3 linked regions of the Elephas maximus indicus genome follow. The protein of the gene in region 3 interacts with the protein of the main gene of each other region in a biochemical or structural test. Links are inferred from orthologs where the notes say so. Each region holds a gene or a part of one and is shown on either strand. Other genes may lie near its edges.

Region 1 (7,965 bases), on a different chromosome or scaffold from region 3:
GCGCACGCATGCCTATTTTCAGGTTACTTGACGTTTTTTTCCCCTAGCATTTTTCCTCTTAAAGTTAAGGCCTCCAAAGATAACTCTGCATCTATTCCTACATGCACGTGGGAGGCAGGCACACAAACACTCAATGATTTACTAAGCAAGTCCAGAACGCATGGGAATGTTCTGCCTCTCACACAAGTTTGTCCACACTCTTGACTCCTAACAGGAGCCCGCGCTCCGGTTGCTCCCCCAGCCGCCTTGCCCATCTGCCCCTCCCTCCGAGAAGTCTCCTTAGCTCTGGGCAGGGAAAGGTTGGCAGTGCCCTCCACCAAACCTAAAGCCATTCACTCAGCCCATGTTTCCACCAGAACCCTGCACTTCCGCAGTTCCAGGTCCAGGCCCCACAGGAGCCCCTCCCCAAATCCCGACAAAGTGGCGGCCTGGGGCGGCAGGTCCGAGCAGCTCCGCACCCGAGTGGACAAAAATACAGAGCGGCCCCCTACGCGGGATAATTAGGTCCCGAGCTCGGAGTTGGGAACACAGGCCCAGCATGCCGCTGGCGGCCACAATCCAGTTTCCTGCCTACAATACCATAATCCTTCCTGGAGCCTGAGCCCCAGTGAAAGCCCCGGCGTGTTTATTTTTCCCCTTGAAAGGGAACTGTCTTCTCAGCCTGCACGCGGGAGGAGTTGTCACTCTCCCTCTGACGGATGGGTCTTCGCGGCCACCCGCTCTCCCGGTCGATTCTCCCCTCAGCACGAGCCGGCCCCAAAGACAGGCAAAGAGACCACTGGGGAGAAAGGAACCACGGGAGTAGTCCCCAGGCCAGCGCTCAGCTCCCAAACTTCCCACAACAGTCCCAAACCCCTGCCCTCCAAGAAGGACGGCCAATGCCAGGGCCCGGCTTAGTGGACTGGCCCTTCTGTCCACTGCTGGTCACCCACACTGGGCTCTTGGGTGCTTGGCTCCTGGGTAGATTTCACATCTAGAAAGTCGACACTGCTCCACCAGGTTGGGGATGCCCCGCTGCCCCAAGGGGCACACGCACCTCCCGGCTCAAAGCCTCCTTACTGCTCCCCCTACACCCCAGAGCTGAGTAGGGCAGGAGCCAAGGTGTCAAGTCCGGGGGGGAAATTCCTCAACACACTGAAATCGCAAAAAATAAATACGGGTGGACCCAGGACAACAGTCCCCGCCCTGTGAACACTTGCAAGCCACCGAGATCTTGAGGGCAGTTTGGGGGTACTCCTCACCATCACCACCCCACTTCATGGTAGCATTTCTTTCATCAATTTGCTAGAATATCCCGTTTTTCTTCCCAGTCCTCCGCGCTAAAAAGCTGAAAAAATCTGCATTTTAATTGACATTCCTGGGAGAGGGGCGCCTGATTGCTTTTCTATTCAAACTAAACAGGCTTTTCAGATGAAAATGAGTCGAGACCGGTGGAAGATTTACAGGGATTTGGGACCAGGGGGACAATGGGGTTTTAAATGTTGATAGCATTTCACACCAAACACATAATGGGTGCCCCGAGTTTGAAAGCAGGTTCGCCGGGAAGAGTAGGTTCATTGAATCGGGCAAGAAGGATGGGCTGGAGGAGTTTGCGAGCGGGCAGTCTGCGCGGCGCGCGGTGGCTTGTCCGCCCGGGCCGGCTCCGTTCCGCAGAGCGCAGCCTGCGCTCGGCCCCGCGGGCCGCAGTGGTCGGGCCGGCGCCTCGCAGAGCCCGCGGCCGGCTCCCCAGCGAGCCCCGCCTCTGGAAGAATGAGCGCGCAAGTCAGAACTCGCCGGCGCTTTCGACATCTGCGAGCGGCTGCAGGGCGGGCGAGCCGGGAAAAGTCGGTGCAGCCCGCCCCCTAGCCCCGGGCGCCGCGCTCCCTCCAGCCCTCGCCGCCTGCCCGGGCTCCAGCGCCGGCGGCGGCCGCGTACTACGAAATCTGGGAACCCGAACAGTGCTCCTCCCCAAAGATGCCCCCCACCCGGCATCGCCATCACTAGGGGATGGCAACCGGGATGTCGGCGGTCCCACCCCAGCGGCTCCCTCCCGGGTAAGGGTCCACCGACGGAGCTTAGATGGAATGGGACGGGCGCTCCCCAGGCCCAGGGATGAAGCACCCCAAAGGTGCCCCGCAGGGCGCCCCGCCTGCGGGGCTGTGCCACCAGCAACCAGCCCCGCCGCCCACCCGCTCAGGGGTCGGAGGAACGGTGGGCTGAGCCAGCGGAATTTGACGGAGAAGGGGTGTCAACCCAAGAAGCAGATGTGAGCATCTGGACGGGGGTGGTGGAGGCAGGACTTCCCAAACGCCAGCCGCGAGCACGCACCCACCTTCCCCATCACCTAAGCAGCAAGAGGGAGGCCAGGGGCCCTCTTCCCAGTGGCATTCTCCCGCGCCTTCCCCCAGAGGTCAGTGGCCCGGCGTCCCGGGCCCCCACGACGCCCCTGTCCCGCTGGCGAGGCGTCCCGCTCTGTCCCGCTCAGCGATTACCTTGAATGGCAACGCGGCTCCGCGATCGGTCCTGTCCCCGCGGCCGGCGTGGGTCGGGATGGAGGGAGCGCCGAGCTCGGGGGTCCCTCGGTGGAAACTCCAGCCGAGTGTCGTCCTTGGATCCTTGGCAGTGCAGGGGCTTGGGCTTCACGCGCACCCGGGGCTGCGGAGTAGCGCGGGCATGACGCCCGCGGCTGCGCTCGGGTTTGGGGAGCGAGAGGAAGAAAGGACTCCGGCTCGGCGTCTCCGCCACCAAACTTTGCTCGCCACTTGCGAGAGGGGAGAGCGCGCACGGGAGCTGCGGCCTCCGGGCCCCGCCGGCCTGGAGAGGAGTTGCGGCGCCAGGCCGGGTCCGCCGCATGCAGCCCCGCGGCCCCGAGCTTTGTGCGGCCGCCGCCCGCTCCGCGCTCCGCACCCGCCGCCGCTCAGCTCTCCGCGGCGCTCTGCGCTCTCCACCGCCGCCGCCGCCGCCCGCGCCACCGCCTCCTCCGGCGGGTCACGCCCCCGCTGAAACCCGAGCCGTTTCCTGGACGGCGGCGCCAGCTCTGCCAATCAGCGCGGCGCACTGGGGCCGCGCCGAGCCCTGAGCGGCCCCCGACGCCTTGGAGCGGCCGGGAGACCCCGGCCGGGCAGGCAAGGGGCCCGGGCGCGATCTGGACGGGGAGATGCAACTCTATCCTCCAGTAACAAGGCCGGTCTCCCCCAACCTGCGCCACCGCCTCCTTCCCTTCCCTTGGGAGGTCAACTGACCAACGTTTTACTAGGTGCCTGGGTGACGTTGTTTTGTTTCAAGTCAGAAAACAAATCACAGATTACCTGCTCTACCCTTAAAGGAACTTTGAAATGCGTAGGCGTGCTATTGGGAGGAGAAATTTAATGCAAATGAAACTTTTGAAGAAGGTGAGACAACTTGGAAATTTTGTAGGGGGTTGCTTTTTTTTTTTCCCCTGGCCTTCAATACCATAGAAGTGAGGGGGAAAACCTAATATTTTATGGAGGCCCCACCATGTGCCAGGAGTTCTGAATAAGTTATTCTGTTTAATCGGCACAACCCCTCTGCAGAGCAATATTCCCAATTTCTGGAAAGGAAACTGAACATCAGAGAGGTTAAGTAATTTGCCCAGGGTCACACAGCTGGTTCCAGGCAGAGCTGACTTTGAACGTGGCCCTTTTTAAAAAAGTGAAAAACTGCGACAACAACAAATTGTTTTGTAATGTATATTTGGGTTACTAAAACATTTTTAAAATTCTAAAAAGTCAACTCTGCCACAAATAGCTTTTGGACCTTCAGAAAATCAGTTCTTTTCTGTGGATCTTAGATTCTCTGACTGCAAAACCAGGGAGTTGTATCTGATACGCTTTCAAGTTCCTATTTCCACTCTACCTTTTTCACTAAGCTGTGTCCACAGGCTCATTTCTTTTTTACTGTACTTTCTCTCCCTCCTCACTTAGCCAGCTCCTAGGCAGTCTGCCTAAGTTCAAGGCAATACAGATAAAAAAACCTTAATTATCTTTCTTTAGGAAAGGTCGTTAAACCAAGAAGTGACTTAAGAAGGCTTCTGAGGCCTAAAGACAGACAAACGGAGCAGTGAGTGCCACGCTGACCCGGAAAACCGACTTTGCCTGCATTTAGAAACAGAGTTGCACGTAGTTCCTGAACACTGTATTCTTTGCAACATTTATGAAAATATTTTTCCAAGGTGCCACCTTATTAGGAAATCTTTTTTTATTTGCAATACATCGTAGAAACCTTTCATACAAATTACTTAAAAGCCAGGAAAGAGTGCAAATCCATTAAATGATTCAGGCAAAACCAAAAACTAAACCCATGGCCATGTGAGGCGATTCCAACTCATAGCAACCCTGTAGAGTAGAACTGCCCTGTAGGGTATCCAAGGAGTGACTGGTAGATTCGAACTGCCGACTTTTTGGTTAGCAGGCAGAGCTCTTAACCACTGATTGAGGCAAACAGCTCTGAAATTATACTTTGGAAATTTGGCAGCAAAAACTAGAGTCTGAGTCTCAGACGGAATTATCAGCCCATTGCTGAGAGGGAGGAAACAAAAAACCCGCTGCTGTCGAGTCGATTCCGACTCATAGCGACCCTATAGGACAGAGTAGAACTGCCCCAGACGGATATGCTTTTAATCAAGTCCTCTAACCTGGATCAGTCCCTGAATCTTTGAATTCAATGACGCCTCAGCCAGGTGTCCCTCAGCCACTCATTCCCATCTAGGTTGTTCTGTCCATACCAAAATGTTTTCAAGCTCTCAGACCTAGGGTCACCTCTGAATGTCAGTCTGCTGGGAGGTCGTCACTTACATCTTTATGTTCCCCACCAACGGGAAACCCGAGTGTCTCAGGGCAGATTCCTGTCTCATCCTGTACGGTATCCATCAGCCACCGAAAATGCTGTTCACACATTCTCACATAAATTAATGGTGCAGGAAACCCAAGTCCGTATCTCTCATTCATCAATAGCTTTATGTTCTCTGAATGGGAAGGAAGCCTTCCGCTGAAAATAACAAATAAGAACACCTTCTTTAACATCCAGACGCAGTTTCCAGAATTTATTCTTCATAGGGATGAAAAGACACCCATCCATCAAAAGCCCCTTATTCCCTCAAGAGTGCTCCTTTTTAAGTGAGTGAAGCCACAAGCCCACTGCAGCAAACGCTTCAGTTTTGAGAAAAGTAGAAGCATGTTTGGAATGTTTTATTACTATTTTTTTTTTTTAATCAATTCTGTCATCAAATTTAGACTTCAAGTGACCTCAGAGGGTCTAGGAAAGCTTTCACACCAGCGAGGCTTCTGAATGAGAAAATAATCTCTTTACAGTTTTTTCTCTTCCCTCTTGAGTGGCTGGAGCCCCTTTTGTCAATGGCCTCCCATGAATGGTGTTGCTAATAAGCCTATTAATGAGCTACCACGGCGGAGTGTGAATAGGTAAATAAGCCCCAATCTGTTGAGGTTCAGGGACGAGGGCAGAAAAGCCATCAAGAACTAAAGGTGACAGTTTGAACTGAACAAGGAGCGCCAGCACCAGGTTTCAGCTGAAAGAACCATCAGACAAGGCCACATTCACTGCCCTCCACCCCCTACTGAGGCTTCTTTTCTTCCCAATTTTCCCCCCTTTACAAAATGTCTTCAGTAGGCACTCTTTTTTTTTCCCCCCCAAAAAGCCCTCGAGACGCCCTTCTTTTTTTTACTCTAGTAATGATACATCAATGGGAAGGAAGAAAAATGAGGACACTAGAACTCCGATGCCCCAGAAGTTTCTAGAAACAAATTGTGCTTCAAGCCCGTTGGTTATGGGAAGAGAAAAGAGGAAGGGGTGGAGACCTTCACTGCCACAGGCCTTTCTTCTTCAAAGATTTGGGATTTTTCTTTTCATAATATGTTTTTTGGATGGGTGGCTGTTCCTTCGCCCTACAGAAAAGTTAGGTCAGGAAAAGGTCAATAATGTGCATAGCGTAGACAAAGCAGTAGGAATGAGTACTGAATAGTCTAAGGACCATGCTAAGAGTACTTACTCCTGGAGGTGAGGGGAGAGGCCGAATCCCCAGACAGCAAGCACCCATTTTCAGGGAGCCTGTGGCATTTAACGGAAGCAAAATCATGGATCCACCACTGAACCTCACCAATGATTCTGAACTTAGAATTGGGCCTGAATTTCAAAGCTGAGACTTACCTGGAGAGAAAGTCCTTCTGGAAGTATCTCCTCACCTTCAGGTGAGGGAGCATTGCTACCCTAAATTGAGGGGATACAAGGCTTTGATTCCACAGTCAAGTTGTGGATCTGGTCACTCAATAGCTGTGTGACTTTGGGCAAGTTACGATCTCTGAGTCTTCTGTTTTCTTGTCTGTAAATTGATCAAAAGAATGGCAGCTATCTCACAGGGGGATCAACCTGGGTGGTGCACACGGTCAATGTGATTGCTCTGCTGCTAACGGAAAGGCCGAAGGTTCAAGTCTGCCCAGAGGCACTTCAGAAGAAAGGCCTGGCACTCTTCTTCTGAAAGGTCACAGCTATTGAAAACCCTACGGAGCACAGTTCTACTCTGACACACAAGGGGTAGCCACACATTGGAACTGACTCCCCAGCAACTGATACTGATAAATTGCATTAAAAACCCATTGCTGTTCCGTCAATTTGAGGTCATAGTGACCCTGCAGGGCAGAGTAGAACTGCCCCATAGTGTTTCTAAGGCTGTAAACCTTTGTTTAAACAGACTGCCACATCTTTCCTCCACAGAGTGGTTGATGGGTTCGAATGGCGGACCTTTCAGTTAGCAGCCGAGTGCCTAACCACTGCGCCACCAGGGATCCTGGTAAATGACATAGGATTACTAAAAGGATTAAATGCCTTAGGAGGTGACAAGCAGAACAGTGCCTGGCACATGGGAATTGCTAGCTATGTAAGCGTTACTTATGATTATTGTTATTGTTGTCACCGTGTGCCTGCCAGTCAGTTCTGACTCGTGGAGAACCCTCCTAGGACTATTGGGAGGGTTAAAGGAAATAGCTTAACCTGTAGAGCCACAATCTAGAAAAAAAAAAATTGCCGTCAAGTTGATTCCGACTCATGGCAACCCTACAGGACAGAGTAGAGCTGCCACGTAGGGTTTCCAAGGCTGTAACCTTTACAGAAGCAGACTGCCGCATTTTACTCCCGCGGAGTAACTGTTGGGTGCGAACCTCTGACTTTTCAGTTAGCAGCCAAGCGCTTTAACCACCATGCCACCAGGGCTCCTTAGCACCACAATACCTGAGTATTAATACGGGCTTGGGTTTAACATAGCCTTGAGTCATTTTGGCTGCTAAATTCCACAGCTCCCCCATCAAAAGGCCTGGCGGTGCCTACCCAAGACTCAACTGTGATGAAATGATGAAACATGTCCTGGGCAGGCCATCTGAGTCCTACAAATGGCTGTTGAAATGGAAAGCATTGCAGTGCTCCTCGGTTCCCTCTGTTGCCCTTCCCAGCGGCAGTCCCTGGGTGGCGATGGAGGCAGAGGGGGGGATACTGTGTAGCTTTGCATGTTTCACACTCGTGAGCACAATTAGTGTCAAAGAGTTTCTGCAAATCCATGGGGAGCATCTGAATAAAAAATGCCATTATGCCCTGTGATGAGGTTTAATGGATTTCCAGGTGTTCTGACTGTCACAGGTAGGCCTTCCTAAGACAATTGGGCCCAAAGGTGAGGAAGCGACTATTAAAGCCTAAAGACCCCATGGAGTTTGATCCCCACATTTTCGGGCACACAGAGGGGATGTGACAGGCCCAAGGACGCCCCGCTGGTTAATGGCAGGGAGACCCAAAATTCCGCTCTCCTGACCAGCTGGGGTTTATCCCAGTGGCCACCAGGGCAAGCTGACCCCTCTCACCCATGCCAAGGGATTCCACACTTTCTAAATTATTCAGCTTAGTATGGAACTGAGTAGAATTCATTGACTCCCAAAATATTAATATCCCTCCCAAAATTTACCCAGC
Region 2 (7,477 bases), on a different chromosome or scaffold from region 3:
TGCAGTCCTTCCCTGGTCTGGGTGCCACTGGCTGGGGTCAGGGTGGGATGGCATACTGGGGAGTTCATCGGTCAGACACACCCTGCTTGGGGCCTGCCCATGTGGGTGAGCACTGTGCTCTGGGCAGCCACACTCACTCTGTGCTTCAGGCAGGTGGGCAAATGAGCAGCACCTGGATTTGAGTCCCTAGAGCACTGAGCTGGGGCCAGAAGTTTCCTGGTTGCCACGTAAAGCAGGCTGGGTCCCCCACTCATCTCCATATCCCTGTACACACCTGGGTCTGGTTCAGGGCTGAATAGCAGAGCAGCAGAGGGCTGGGATGGTCATGTATGGACTCAGTCCAAGGCAGGGTGAGCTGTTCACTGGCTAGGCCAGCCCAGGAATCTCCTGCTTCCCCAGTTTGTACTGGCCAGAGGCACAAACAGCCTTTCTACAGACTAAGCCTTTTGGGGACGACAACTGTCACTAACCCTCTCCACAGGGACACTGCTGGGCAAGACTTCATGGAACTGGACTGGGGACATCTAGCCAGAAAGTCACAGCCCAAGCCATAGCCCCTTAGCACTTGCAGCTGTGCACGGGGAAGCTGAGGTGCGAGAGTGCAAGGAAGGACCCCAGACCACACAGCAAGGAATTCAGGGGCAGGCCTGGTTCTAGAACCAACAGCACACTTTTGAGGGGGCAGCTTCAGGGTTCCCAGTTTCTCACCTGCTGGCTGCTCGTCTCCCACTTAGCTGCCTAGATGCTTGACTACACTTAACTGGTTTATGCTTCAGCTTTAGCATCCCCCATTAGGCCAGGAGCTCCAGTCCTCCTCCACCTAACATCTGGTGGGGCAAGGTGCGGGCTCAGGGAAGGCATTGGCGATGGTCTCCATTGACATCTCCCCACCAGCCCCACCCTGGTCCAGGCTGGGCCACCCTTCCTCCATGAGCCCCTCCAGCTGACACTCTCCCCTCGCTTCACAGCCACACTCAGTATGGTGCCCCGCTTCACCTCCCTCACTCCTCAACTACCCACGCTGGTGCCGCCCATTGTACAACATTCTTGATTTGAATCCAGAGGACACTTGGTCCCATCCTCACCCCGTCTGACTCCCTCAGGCATCTGCCACGGCCGCAATTCTAGCTCTGTGACTGCTCTGCCCCGTGGCACCACGACTCTGGCCTTTCCTGCTTCTCCTTAGGATGAATGTTTCATCCCTGTCTCCCTGCAAGCCCCCACTGCCTCTGGCCCCCTGCCCTAGGGTCCGATCCTGGACCCTTTGCTCTGCTTCCTCTCTGGCTCCCCAACTCAGCCTCTTTCCTGAGCCTCAGATGTTACACCCAGCTGCCTCTCAGACATCTGCTCAACATAGGGTCTCACACCCTGACCCCTGCAGTCCAACCAGGGCTCCATTCACCCCTGCTCCTCCATTTAGTCACTCTACAAACATACTGAGCACCTGTGAGAGCCTGGTCCTGGGCAGGGTGCAGGGGAAAGAGGGAAGGGCCCAGGGTAGCCTCTATGCCCAGACCTGCCCAGACTCAGAGGCTACAGATGGCCTCCCCCTTAGGCTTCTCCCCACCTCCCTCCTCTCCCTGTCCTCAGCCACTCAGCTGCTGAAGGCACAGGTGTGTGAGCAGACAGCAGGGGATCTCTTTTCCCACAGACCAGTTCTTCCCTACTACTGGCTTCCTGGGGACCTTGGGGGAGTTTCATAATGTCCTTGATCTGACCTTCTCCATCTGTAAAATAGGTCTAACACTCCCTGTAAGGATTAAAAGTGATGAAAGATGTAAAGCAGGTATTTAATGTCTACAGTGTTCAACATAAGGAGGTTCTGGTATCTCGCATGTACTCCTACCCATCTACCAGGGCCTGGGACCCCTCCTGCATTCCTTGATTTTCAGAGACTGCCAGTTCCTGTGTGCACTCCAGCTCATCCTCCCTTGTCCTCTAAATTCTTCTCTAACCATATCCCTTCTGCTCCCTCTCTCACGCCCCACCTCCCTTTTCTCCAATCCCACAGCTGCAGCTTCTGGTTTGGGTCTCACCCTGCCAGAGTCATGTACCCAACAACACCGCCTCTGCCTCTCCTGTGCTTAAAGACCCTTCTGTGGAGGCCTGTGCCTTAATAGCCAGGCTCATTGGCTCGGCCTTCAAGGCTCCTGCCCTCTCAAATCCAGGAAGGCCTGGCTGCCTGCCTTTTCTGGGCGGTGACCCTACCTCAAATCCCAACTCTCACCTGCGCCCTCTTCGCCTGGCGGCCTCTGCCTCAGGCGCCCGACGCTACCAAAGTCCCTGCCTCCGCAGTCCCTAGCCTCCCTAGCCGGGGGGGAAGGTGGACGCCCGTCCGGAGCGCCCTCTTGGGGGCCTCCCAGGACTGATCTCGAGCACAGACGGGAGGCGTCGGGAAGTGCGCACCCAGGTCTGGGCCTCGGCCAGGATTGGCGCCGCGGCACCCAGGGAGCCATCTCCGTGCCCGTGGGTCGCCAGGGCCAAGCAGTGCGGCGCCGGGACTCCACGGGGAACCGAGTAAGGGAACGAGGGATCCAGGGTGAGGATGCAACGCGACGGGACACGGCTCCGAGGGAGCCACGGACAGGGGAAGCGGGGGAGCCCAAGGGCGATCGCTGCGCAGCGGCGCAGCACGGCTGCCGGTCCCTGACCCGGCTGCAGTCCCCGCCCGCCCTTTCCTCATCCTGGCTGTCCCAGCGCCCCGACCCCGGCGCTCCGTCCGCTGTCGGTACCCCAGGTTCCCGCCCCTGCCTCCCTCGGTGTTCCAGGCTCCCAGCCAACCCTGTCGCCCTCCCGTCCTCCACAAGGCTCTCTAGGGCTTCCTCCTGGGCAGTCCTGTCCCCTCTGAGTCCGTCGGTGCGGTCCCACTACTCGCCCCCGGCGGGAGGTACCCCTGCCCCTACCACCGCCCCGCACTCTGGAAGGCTGGCAGCGGGCTCCTCGTGCTCACCTGGGAGGAGTCCGAGGCAGAGCCACAGGCGCAGGCACAGAGCGGTGCCTCGCTGCATCTCCGGCCGCTGCGGCGCGGGTCCGACCAGCCGGCCGCGGCTCAGGGCTCCGAGTGTAGGCGTGGGCCGGGCGCGGGGGTGGGCGGGGCGGCCGGCGGGACCGCGGCGCCGGGGTGGGGCCGAGCGGGGCGGGGCCGGGGGCCGCAGACCGCCCCTCGCACCTCTCGGTGCGTCTCAGCCGCCTGAACATCCAGTCGAAGTGAGACGTGCGGGCTCCGCAACTTCCCATAGCACCGCCGCCCTTCAGCCCCCCGAGGCTGCTGCGGCCAGGGAGTGCAGGTAAGGCCACTGTTCTTTATGCGCCGTAAAGGGGAATGAGGCCTGGCAGTTAAAGGATGGACAAAATGTGGCAGCGCATTACAATTTCACAAACTTGTAATTACGTAATTTCTTTCAAGCAATAAATACTATGCCTCCCACCCACTGCCGTCAAGATACTACCCTAGAGTAAGCAAAAAAGCAATACATATGACTTGAAAGCAGCAGTAATGTCAAAGCTTTGAAACCGTTTAGCAGACTTTACCTTACTACATCTTTGGTGCAGGTGGAGGCAGTGCCATTGAGTCAGGCACCCGGTGTAACTAACCCCCAACCTGCAGGTCTGGGCACCCCTTTAGGTCTCCCCCGAATTTTTTTCTCTGAGCTCATCCGTAAGTCCTTTAATCAGGTGACACTGAACTCTCTGACTTGGAAACCCTCGCACAGACTTCCTTTCTCTTTTCGGTTCTGTCTCTAGAATCTAATTTAAAATAAATCCCATGACAATGACTATCTCAACTTTCCTTCCCTGCTTTAAATTCTACTTCACTCCCACTTTTCCATTCCCCGCCCCCCCAAAAGTCCACACCTCCTTGCCGAAAACCAGGACCATCTCTCTGCAGAGGAAGAATTGGGTATATTAGTAACCCAACCTTGAAAGTCATATAGCATCACTTCTGGCATACTTTATTGATCAATGAAGTAGTCACAAGCCTGCCCAAGGGACGTGCTCCCCAACTCTAGATAGGGAGAGGCAAGGTCACATTGCAGAAGAGCATGTGGGTTAAGAGATATTGTTGAGGCCAGGATTCCAAAATACACTTGGCCACAATGTGCTACAAATCCCTTCTCCCATTCCGTGGCTTACTTCTCACTCCCTTTTTTGGGGGAACATCGTGCTTCCGTTTCCAGAGAGAATTACTTATTATTGACTCTGCATTTGCATATTAATTTTATAAGTAGTTTGTCAATTTTCATTAATAAAATTCTGCTAGAAGTTTGATTGGAATTACATTGAATGGTTGAATTACTTTTGGAGGAACTGAAATCTTAAAAAAATTTGAATCTTCCATTCATGAATTTGTTATATCCAACAATTTATTTAGTTTTTCTTTCATTTATACCTATAATGTTTTGTAATAATTTGCCGTGTTTTCATTATGATTCGGTTTATACAATTTTCATTTTCGACCTATTTAAAAGTATGTTTTAAAACATATTTAGAAGTACATTTCTTAATTTACAGATATTTGGAGATTTTGAGTTATTGTTGATTTCTAGTTTACTTTGTGATCAGAGAAGGTATTCTTAGTCCACTTCCTTGGAATTTGTTCAGACTTGCTTTTAGGCTCAGCATGTTTTCCATCTTTGTAAACATACCTTTATACTTGGAAATAATGTACTTGAAAAGGCTGTTTGGTGTAGCATTGTTCATATGGCATTTAAGTCAGGTAGGTTAATTATGTTGTTCAATTCTCTTGTATTCTTGTTCTGTCAGTTGCTGAAAGAAATATGTTAAAACTCTAACTATAATTTGGATATATCAACTTTTTTTAGTTTTGTTAATTTTTGTTTTATGTATTTTGAAAGTATATTATTATGTATTTATGTATTTTTATGGACTAATCAAATAGAGTTTTGTTTGATTAATTGTTTTTTGTCTTCTGTTAATGTGGTAGATTGCAAAGATAGCCACCCACCTTTACTTCCCTCTGGGTCCATGCCCTTTAAAATGGGATTATGCAGCTCCTCCTATTGATTTATACATTTATGTATTTTGAATGTATATTTTTAGGAGCACACAAATTTAGGATTGTTATATATTCCTATTGAAATGACCCTTTCATCTGTATGGAATACTTGCAACTTTTATCTCTTGTAATATATTTTAACTTAAAGTCTAGTTGTCTGACATTACTATAGCCACACCAGCTTTTTGTTGATTTTTGTTTATGTAGTCCATCTTTAACATTTTCTTACTTTCAGCGTTTAGTTTGTTCTGCTGTAGTGCAATACGGGTTTCTAAAAATAATAAAAATATTATGCAATAAAAACCACAGAGTATATGGAAAAAAAGGGACCAGGCACAACTTTAAAAAACTTCATCAGTAACACCTAAAAATGATAGGAACATATTAAAAATGGTAGAGATTATTGGTGGTTCAGTGGTAGAACCTTTCATTCAGGAGACCCAGTTTGATTCCTGGCTGATGTACCTCAGGCACAGCCACATCCATCTGTCTTTGGAGGTTTGTGTGTTATGATACTGAACAGGTTTTAATGGAGCTTCCAGACTAAGACAGACTAGGAAGAAAGGCTTGACAGACTACTTCCAACAATCAGCCAGTGAAAACCCTGTGGATCACAACAGTCTGATCCACAACTAATCATGGGGATGGTGCAGGAGTGGGCTGTGTTTAGTGTGGTTGTATATGGGGTTACCATGATTCAGGGGCCAAATCAATGGCAGCTAACCACAACAACAACATTAAAAATGGTAGCATAGTTTCCACTTCTCCGTGGTGGTGTGAGGAGCTCCATACACCTGTTTTCCAGTGAAACTGTTGAAAACTATTAAAACAACAACAGCAACAACAACATTTAATGTCTTCTGGAAATGATCCTAAGGAAATACAGGAAATGAAGAAACATTTTTTTCAAGAAAATCTACCTAAATTCAATGAGAGCAGTGAGTCTATGGCATTTGAACCACAACCTGCTCCCCCCTTCCTCCTCTCAGCTCAGAGTGATGGAAACTCCATTCCAGATAGGTGGAGCCAGGAACGCAGGGTGCCCTCACCTCAGCTCCCAATCACAGGGCTACAGTATCTTTCCAGTGGGGCAGGACATTAGTCTTTCTCCCCTATCTACCTCTTGCAGAGGCTAAGTTCCAAGCAAGTGTAGCTGAGAGGTGGAGCTCTCTTCTTTTATCCAGATCCCACTCATGGGACAGAGGCTCTACCTGGGGCGCAGTGTGCTGACAGTAATAGGGGCTCTCATTCTGGCTCATTTGTAAAGTGGAGATTCCATTCTGCGAGAAACAAGCAAAGAAGATCAGAGGCTACAGCTAACCCCTCTTTTGGCTGAGCACTTTGCTCCTATGGCAGATGGTCCACTTGGAGAGAAACCGTCACTGTCCCCACCCCCAGCTCCAGCTTTGCGGCTCAGAAATTTTTACCCAGTGAGAGAGGCAGGCCATAAAACAGAGAGCTCCAAAGATCTGCCAAAAGGAAATGAGTTCATATGCAACAGAAATTGGGGAAGTTTAGCATTTTGGCACTTTCAAAAACAATGGAGGTATGGTAAAAAAACAGTTAATGACGAAACTGGTAGACATGCTAGAGATATAAGCAAAACCATAGGCTGGCAAGTTTACCAGAGAGAGAGAGAGAGACAGCTAAGAAGAGCCCTCTTGGGGTCAAAGCAAAACTTAAACAGTCACCTCAAAAACTAACCCTGTTAAGGAACCCAAATTTAATTGGATCAGTCTGTGGAGCTCTTTATGCCCCAGGACATTGTTGAAAATAATAGAGCAACCAGTCAGAAATTAGTAGAATTTAACAGCTGGGTGTTGTCAGGGAGAGAGATAGTCAGAGAAGATGCTGCCAAAACCATTGTCATCCAGAGTGACTGCGCTCATGGCCAAGGCTGTGCCCTCCAACAAGCAGCATCAGAAAAGGGCAATAGACTTCAGTAAAATTATCTAGTCACTAAATAAATAAATGAGTAAATAACAATAACAAGCCATGGAGGCAAGTGGAGACCAGTACCCAGAATTGCTACAATATATTATCTAAAATGTCCAGGTTCTAACAAAAAAATATGAAACATGCAAAGAAACATGAAAGTCTGAACCATTACCAGGAAAAAAAAATCAGACAATAGAAACTGCACATGAGAGTGACTAGATGTCAGATTTAACAGACTGAGACTTCAAAGTAGTCATTAAAAGTATGTTCGAAGAACTCAAGGAAACCATACTTAAAGAAATAAAGGAAGATACGATGACAACGTCTCATCAAATAGAGGATATCAAAAAGATGGATATTATAAAAAGGAACCAAATGGAAATTCTGGAGCTGAGAAGTACAGTAACAGAAATTACTGTTAACAACAGAGGGGAAAGAGAAAGAATTAGCAAACCTGTGGTTAGATCCATAGATATGCAATCTGAAGAACAGAGAGAAAAAAGAATGAAGAAGAATGAACAC
Region 3 (7,765 bases):
GCTCAGGGCACTGTTAACAGGAAGTGGTACTTGCAGTGGCCAGCAGCTCCTGAAAAATGTGTTGCTGAATCTGACTCTAGTAAGAATTTGGAAAAACTCCCTGCATGTTCCGCCAGCAGAGCCCTGCACCTACGGTCTCCTCAGGTTCACCTGTCCACAGAACAAGCCTCTCTTTCTGGGGGAGGGCTGACGGTACCATGCAGTGGGAAAAGCATTAACACTAAGTTAAAAAAAAAAAAAAGGCTGCAAGGATCTGATGGGCGGAGATTTGGGGGTTGTGGGCATGTGTGGGTGAGGGTCTTTGAGGTCTGCATATTTAGTGACCACGGCACTCAGCTTATAAAAACAATACTGCCTTTGGAATCTGACCAAATCGTAGCCCAAAGAGCATATTCTAAAAATGTGTCATTGTCTATCTTAACCAAGGCACTTTCTTAGGCAAAAAAAAAAAAAAGTTCTATCGCCTTTGCTGCTAAGGAGCCAACGCTCTGACCCTCCAACAGCACAGCGAATCCCCCGGTAATTAAGTTCCACATTTTACAAACACACCAAAGCAATAATTCATTTTAGGAATTCTGCCTTTCTACTACACTCCTTAATGGTTTATGATAAGCCTACATACTTATCCTTTTTCCAGTTCTGTTACCCGGTTTAGATTAGGAAAACATACGGAACTGGAAAGACGACTGTCATAATATAGACCTGCTTTTTCAAAGTCCTATTTTGATGTTAATTTCTGAGTAATTAACAGATAAGACATGGGCTCCCTGGAGGACCTGGGTCTCCTACTAAATCCAAGTGGTCTGAGTACTTTATAACAGGTTGTGAAGTTTTCTTTTCCTCTTTGTGTATCCAAAGGGTGTGCAATCCCATCAACTTTGACTTGGAAAACGGAAGGTGTTTCCATAGAGCTTTAAAAAAACAAAACCAAACTTAAATTGTGTTATTCGGACACTGTTACTGTTACTAACTAGTCATTTTCTAATGGGAAAAATGGTGCTTGTGCTTGACAATTCATTGGCGTGAGCACAGTGATAAGATGAAGCTCCATGTCACAACCTGTGTGTATAAAGAAAATCACGCAGGAAATGGGGTTATCATCCTCGTGAGCAATATGCAATGTGTACTTCACCTTCTCTCCATCAGTTAACACTTACATTAACAATTCACTTGTTAGGTCAGGATTAGACTTCTTACACTGAATCGTCAGGATTTTATCTCAACTAACTATAGACACTAACCTCGATAGTAATGCCTTGGAGGTTCTTTTTCTTCCATTGTACAATAATGCCTTTAATATGAAACTCTACATTAATTACGATTGGTATAGGGTCGCTATGAGTTGCAATCGACTTGACACCAATGGGTTTTGGTATAGTTAATTATATCTTTTTATAGCTGTAAGTACACAGAGGTGGTATATTTAACCTTCTGTAATATACTGTATTTAGAAATGGAAATCTATATCCTGTTTGATTTCACTTTTTTAAAGGTTTACCACTGTGGTATGGTTTAAAAATGTATCAGCCTGGAAATTCGGCTCCTACCTACAGATTGAGCTCAACAATGCAACAATGATAAAATAAACTTAGGTATTTGAGAAACATTATGTTGTGTTTTGTTCTGTTTTCATTTGAGAACTCAATCCCTTTTAATTCTGTGGCTGACCCCTCTTTCCTGGGTCTTCTGTACAAAATGTCTTGTAACAAAGCAGGGTCAGTAACTGAGGCTACAAGTCCCCTTGCTCAATCGATCAGGCCTAGTGCTTTGCCTGAGCGTGAAACCCATTCCTATCGGTTTTGGAGTCAACCAGGCAGGGAGCCTGGCTTCACTGTCTCTCTGTCTTAATTGGCTAACTTTAGACTGGTCACCTGAGCTGCCCGAGTCTCTTTTTAGTATAAAGTGATGAGGACATTTGCCATGAGTGTGGAAAGTGGTGGGGAAGATCACAAGAGAAATTTAGTGAAAATACCATGTCCCCAGTTGTGTGTCTAAGTGTCTGTTTTTATCACTTTCTTCACAAGGATCTAGGTGCTTGTGTTTAATTTACCTAACGTTTCTAAGACTTCTAACCAAGAAGCCTCAATCACCAAGTCATGAGCTGTCACTGAAGTTGGATCAAGAACACTCCTTGTACTTGGTTAGGTCCCCTGAGCTCAGCCTGTACACATAATGTTGAAAATCTAAATCACTCTTGCCGTGTGTTGACAAAGCACAGCTCCTTTAAGAGAAAACGAATCTGATCCCTCTTAAAATACATATGCATTTAGAAATATCCCGCTTCTCAATCCAGGTGTGAGCAGAAAATTATGGTAAAATGACATTTTATTTCATTTTGGTTTACCAGTGTATTGCTCCCTGAAGAGAACCATCCTGGGGACAATAGGTGGGCCATGGTGCATGTGTGTGCACTTGTGTGCCTGTGGGATGAGTGAGGGGGAGGCACGTTCTCTAACAGTGGCCCCTTTGGTGTACCCTTGCTCCTCCTGATGGTATCTGAAGCCTTTTGAATGTCCTTGCTCTTACCCATATGGCTAACTTGAGTTTGAAGGTGACCGGGACAGTGAGGGACATTTTTTTAAAAGCATCCATGGAGAAACATCTGAGGAAACTGAGTACCACACTGAAGAAACATAGCTAGAAGACATGGAGGGAACAGCCTGCCACTGTGCCTTCAGAAGGCAGAAACCGAAGTTTCTGGAGGCAGCTTCCGGCTGACCCACCTTAGGCGGGCCATTCCATTCTGAGGTGCTGAAAATCTGGGTAGGATGCTGAGTACAAGCTAGAGGACATGGGCCAGTGGGATCCAAGAAGAAGCCAAAAGGAATCTTAACTGACCTGTAATAGCCTTCTATGGGAACCTATGACTCATGCCTAATGCATAGAGTTGAGTTGAATGCCAGGATATAACTAGCTCAAAATAGGATATCTGAGTGTCAAATGTCAGCTGCTTTTCATGTTGGGACCATTTTTTAGCCTGTCTCCAAGCTCATTTAACAGGGAAGTTGAGTGGACCCTGCAGGTGTTGGCAGGGTGGATTACCTAATAGGCAAGGTAAGCACAGTATTTATCTTTCTTACCAGACCATCTGTAGTGAACAATTTCTCATGGGTTTCACCATATCTTTGATTGTTCACTACAGATTAGTAAGTAAACACAAGTAAACTGGTGCTTACCTTGCTTACTGGGTCATCCGACCCTGTCAGGGACTGTAAATTTGAAAAGAGGTTTTGATTCTGTGGGAAGGTGCTATGGTGTTGAAAGAGGGACAGATGCCAGCCATACCTGGAAGCAGAAACTTTGATGTGGTGAAAAAATGTGAAATAATCCTCCCCTGGTTTTTTTTTTGGGGGGGGGTGTTGGTCCAGTCCGCTCCAGGGTCACCAGCTAGGATCGTGCGCTTCATCACTGCGTCGCTAGGTGGCGGGGCCTCGCCGGGGAGGCGCCTCCCCGCCTACGCCGGGCTCACTCAGCACAGCGCACGCCAAGTCCTGCAAATTATTAGGGACTTTTCGGTGGCAGTCATACTGATGACCTAGCATATGATACTAAGACCCCAGTGGTGGGGATAGAATTGCAAAACTGAAAAGGCGCCGCGTGGCCGTCAGTTCTGAAGGCAGTCTCCGGAGAGCAGAGCAAAGCTGACCAGTGGTTCCCTCGCCAACCAGGGGCCCCCACCAGCCGCTATAAGGGACCACTACGCGGGGTGTCCGTCACGTCGAGCCAGGGCCCTATGGCTGCTCCGGTTTCTGTGAAATGGCAGCGAGGGTCGTAGCCGTTTATCGTTGCGCTTTGCGCTAAATCCTGGGAATGTTCCCATCATTACATTACATGAGAGGAGCCTATGGGGCTGGCCCTTACAGGGCGTCCATTGATAGGTTTTTCTGAGCGGGCTTCTCTGCCCTCAGTGAACACGCAGAGCCTGATCTGAAGCCTGCGTTGGCGTATGAGCCTCAATGGTGTGACGGACATCCTTACGTTAGGGTGAAAGAAAGTTGTCGTTATTCCACCACGTTTTACCTACAAACAAAATAAGCCATTAAAAACGATCCATCAAATAGTTGTGTGTTTGCATACATCCGTAATTAAATCAGTTAAATTCATGTAGGAGAGGAGCAGTTTGCAAAATATTAAAGCTTACAAAATACTCATCTTTGCCCTGTAGAAGGGATGTACACAAGGGAATTTCCGTATTTTTCATATTTACTGCCAGAGAATATGGCCAACACGCAAGTTAGAGTTAATTCGCCGATTTGGGTGCAGAGCAGAGTAGAGGGACAGGGCAAGCTGGGTGAAGCCGAGAACTAATTTTCTCTTCGCCTTCCCGCGTGCACCAGCGGACTCGGAGGAGGACTCCACCCTAGAAGGCTCCCCGGAGCCTGTCACCTTCCCGGGGCAGGGAGTAAGAAATTTGGCCACCTAGGTTTAACGACTAGGGAAACTGAGGCGGGGCACCCCGGGGCGCCTCGTCCCCACACCGTGAGAGCCAGCAGCGCCCAGACCCTGGGCGCGCGGCAGCCTCTCCCTGCGCGCCTTTTGCGCCGCCGACGCCCGCCCGCCGGCCCGCCCTCCCGCCGCCCGCCCCAGCGCCCTCCGCAGGATTGAGGAAGTGCGTCTGGTCCCGGCGCGGCCGAGGCGCGGGGGCTGGAGACGGTCGGACCTCCAGGCCCAGGCCCCCTAGTCTCCTCCTGGCTGCCCCGGGCGCCCCAGCCCCGCGTCCGGAACGACCGCGTCCCTCCTTTCCGCCGGCCGCTGCCGCCGCAGGTAAGCACTGCCCGGGCCCGCGCCGCCGCCCGCCCAGGGACCTAGCCGCCTCCTGCAGCCCGGCGGGGACCCGAGAGCCGGCTCCCACTCGCCCTGGCCCGTGCTCGGGCCTCTGCCTGCTTCTGTGCCCCTGGCCCCGCAGCCCGGCCCTGCGACCCAGGCGGCATCGTGGTCGAGGAGCGGGACACGGAGGCGCGGGCGAACCCCCATCTCTCGGCCCCGCGGCCTCCAGTGCGCGCGGACCCAAGCCAGCCCTCGGGGTGGGAGTGTGCGAAGCCCTGCACCGGACAGCACCAGGGCGGACGGAGCAGCGGCAAGAAACAAAAGTAGGAAATTGCGCCAGGGTGTATCCACGTTTCCTCTGCCTTTGAAGGAAACCTTCTACAGCTTGGAGCGGGGAATTTGTGTGTGCGCGCGCGTGTGCTTGTGAGGGCGTGTGCGCAGGGAAGGGGCTGTCCCAGGACTCTCTCTTCCTAGCCGCGGCCTCAGTGATGCGGGTTGGCTCAGCGCGCCTTCACCCACCACAAAGTCGGGGGCATTCTTCTTGCCCAAGGGTTGCGTCTCTGGCCAGATACCGATTAAATCCGCTTTCTCTGTGGGCTTGGGCAACCTCCCCAAGCGTGCTGGGGTCGGCGAGGTGAGTGTGACCCGGGGGTGCAGGTGTTAGGGAGGGTGCTGGGGGTTGGAGAGAGATGATGATGGAGAAGATGAAAGATAGGTGGTCAGCCAAACCTACCCCTTAGCCTAGTGAGGCCCACACCAAGGTTTTCTCCCACAAACTTTCAAAGTGTGGCGTCTGCAGGGGTCTGAGAGGTGGAGAAATCAGGAGCGTGGAGCTACGTTCTTAGCCAGCCCCTCACCAAACGATTAGACGATTTTTAGAGTTTCCCACTCACATGGTATCAAAGTTAATGCTGTCAGTAGATGTCATGTAGTTGATTTCAACTCCTAGCAACCCATGTGACAAAGTAGAACTGCCCATAGGATTTTCTAGGCTGTAATCTTTATGAACACAGACGACCAGGTCCTTTTTTTCCTGGAGCATATGGGTGTGTTCGAACTGCTAATGTCTCGGTTAGCAGGTTAGCAGCCAAGCACTTAACTATTGTGCCACGAGGACTCTTGTTGGTATCAAAGTATGAGGATCCTAAAGAGACAACTAGAATATGCATGATTTTGGGAAATGTTAAAGTTAAAGTCTTCATTATATTATTTTCATTATCTTTGCTTATGTCCTAGAACAAAAAAAAAAATTACTGAGTTGATAACATACAAACCCCACACTTAATATGTCCCTAAAACAGGTCTTGGGATGAGCCAAACCTTTCCATCTCCTGGGGAAGGCCCCATAGCTCAGTTGCTCAGAGGGAAGCCTAGGAATTAACCCTGGGAACATCCCATTCCCTTGTCCCCGGGATTCTTCCCGTTAGCAAGTCCTGCTGGGTCTACCTCCAAAGTGTGTCCTGGGTCTATCCGCTTCTTTCTCACACACCCTCCACTCTAGTCCAAGGTGTCAGGATCTCTTGTAAGATTCTTGAGTGATTTCCGTGATAGCTACATCTGATCATGTCACTATGTGCATGGAACCCTGTAGCGCCTTCTTCTTGTGATTGGTATAAAATCCAGAGGAACTCCTTCCTCTCACCGCTCCCCCACTGTGTGCTCCGGCCACTGCCATCGATGTTATCCCCCCAACCTCTGCCGCCCCGTCCACCCTGGTGGCGCTTGTTTGCCAGCATGAGGCATGGACATTGCTGTTCCCTGACTTCACGTGGCTGACACCTCAGGAGGCCTTAGAAGGCCTTCCCCGGCCACCCTCTACACCCCTCCTCAGTCTCTCTTCCATCCCATCTCTGTGTTCTTATGCCCACCACTATCTGCGTATACCTTCTTTATCTCTTCAATTTCTTCTTTAATTAGCGGGCTCCTGAGGTCAGAGACCATGTCTGTCTTGCAAACCACCGTGTCCCCAGCTCCCAGGACTGTTCTTGGCGTAGGAGATGCCCAGTGCATACTGGGGAGTGACCAGATGGTTAATGTTGTTGTTGTTATTCGTTGCCCCAGAGACAGCTCCGATTCACGGCAACCCCATGTACAACAGAACGAAACGTGGCCCTGCCCTACACCATCTTCGTGATCGTTGGTATTGAGTCCGTGGTTGCAGCCAATGTGTATTTTGAGTCTCTTTGAACCTAGGGAGCTCACCTTCCAGCAACTTCATTGGCTAATTTTTAGAAATAGATATCCAGGCCTTTCTTCCTAGTCGGTCTTAGTCTGGAAGTACTGCTGAAATGTGTCTACGATGAGTGGCCATGCTGGTATTTGAAATACTGGTGGCATTGCTTCTAGCGTCATAACAACATGCAGGTCACCACAGACAAACTGACAGATGGGTGGTGGAAATGATGAATGACACCAGCCTTCACTAACTGGTGGTTTGGGACTCAAGAAGTGCCTCTGTTGTCAAATCCTTGGGTGCTCATTTGGGATCGAGAGCTATATGCTCCTCCAGCCTGCAGATCCATGGTTATTTTGATATTCACAAACCTGTCAGATACATTTTGCAGGCAGACCAATATTGGTAAAGGGATCCTAGAACCATAGACCAGCCTTCTTGACCAGCCTACTACTATCAATTCAAAAAGAAGCTAGACTACAGGAACATTTCGAATATACTTCATTTGCCAGTGTCTTCCCACTCTTTGGTAAAGTCCCTGAGTCGCCCAAATAGTAAGCGCTCAGCTACCAACCTAAAGGTTTGCAGTTTGAGTCCACCCAGAGGTGCCTCAGAAGAAAGGCCTGGCCATCCCCTTGTGAAAAATCAGCCATTGAGAACCCTGTGAGCACAGTTCCACTCTGACACACCTGGGGTCGCCATGAGTCAGGGTCAAATCCACAGCAACTGGGTTTTATTTCACTGTCTTCCCTTTACATTAACTGTAAGTTTCGAGAACTCATGAAGTCGACTCCTCACAGAGAAGGGTTACTAACTATTTGTAGA

The links. The genes of interacting proteins can lie anywhere in the genome.
Region 1: the proteins of LRRK1 (region 3) and FGFR2 form a complex in vitro, tested with the Homo sapiens proteins (2 studies listed by BioGRID and IntAct, with this or other methods). The link is inferred for Elephas maximus indicus from reciprocal best matches to the Homo sapiens genes LRRK1 and FGFR2.
Region 2: the proteins of LRRK1 (region 3) and FLT4 form a complex in vitro, tested with the Homo sapiens proteins (2 studies listed by BioGRID and IntAct, with this or other methods). The link is inferred for Elephas maximus indicus from reciprocal best matches to the Homo sapiens genes LRRK1 and FLT4.

The regions. Positions count from the first base shown.
Region 1 is NC_064834.1:71,983,042-71,991,006, forward strand, and holds the start of FGFR2 (fibroblast growth factor receptor 2), read right to left. Parts: upstream 3,065-7,965; 5' UTR 2,472-3,064; intron 1-2,471. UniProt on the Homo sapiens protein: Tyrosine-protein kinase that acts as a cell-surface receptor for fibroblast growth factors and plays an essential role in the regulation of cell proliferation, differentiation, migration and apoptosis, and in the regulation of embryonic development.
Region 2 is NC_064820.1:203,122,973-203,130,449, forward strand, and holds the start of FLT4 (vascular endothelial growth factor receptor 3), read right to left. Parts: upstream 3,065-7,477; 5' UTR 3,009-3,064; coding exon 2,951-3,008; intron 1-2,950. UniProt on the Homo sapiens protein: Tyrosine-protein kinase that acts as a cell-surface receptor for VEGFC and VEGFD, and plays an essential role in adult lymphangiogenesis and in the development of the vascular network and the cardiovascular system during embryonic development.
Region 3 is NC_064831.1:92,684,038-92,691,802, forward strand, and holds the start of LRRK1 (leucine-rich repeat serine/threonine-protein kinase 1), read left to right. Parts: upstream 1-4,674; 5' UTR 4,675-4,764; intron 4,765-5,111; exon of another isoform or gene 5,112-5,401; intron 5,402-7,765.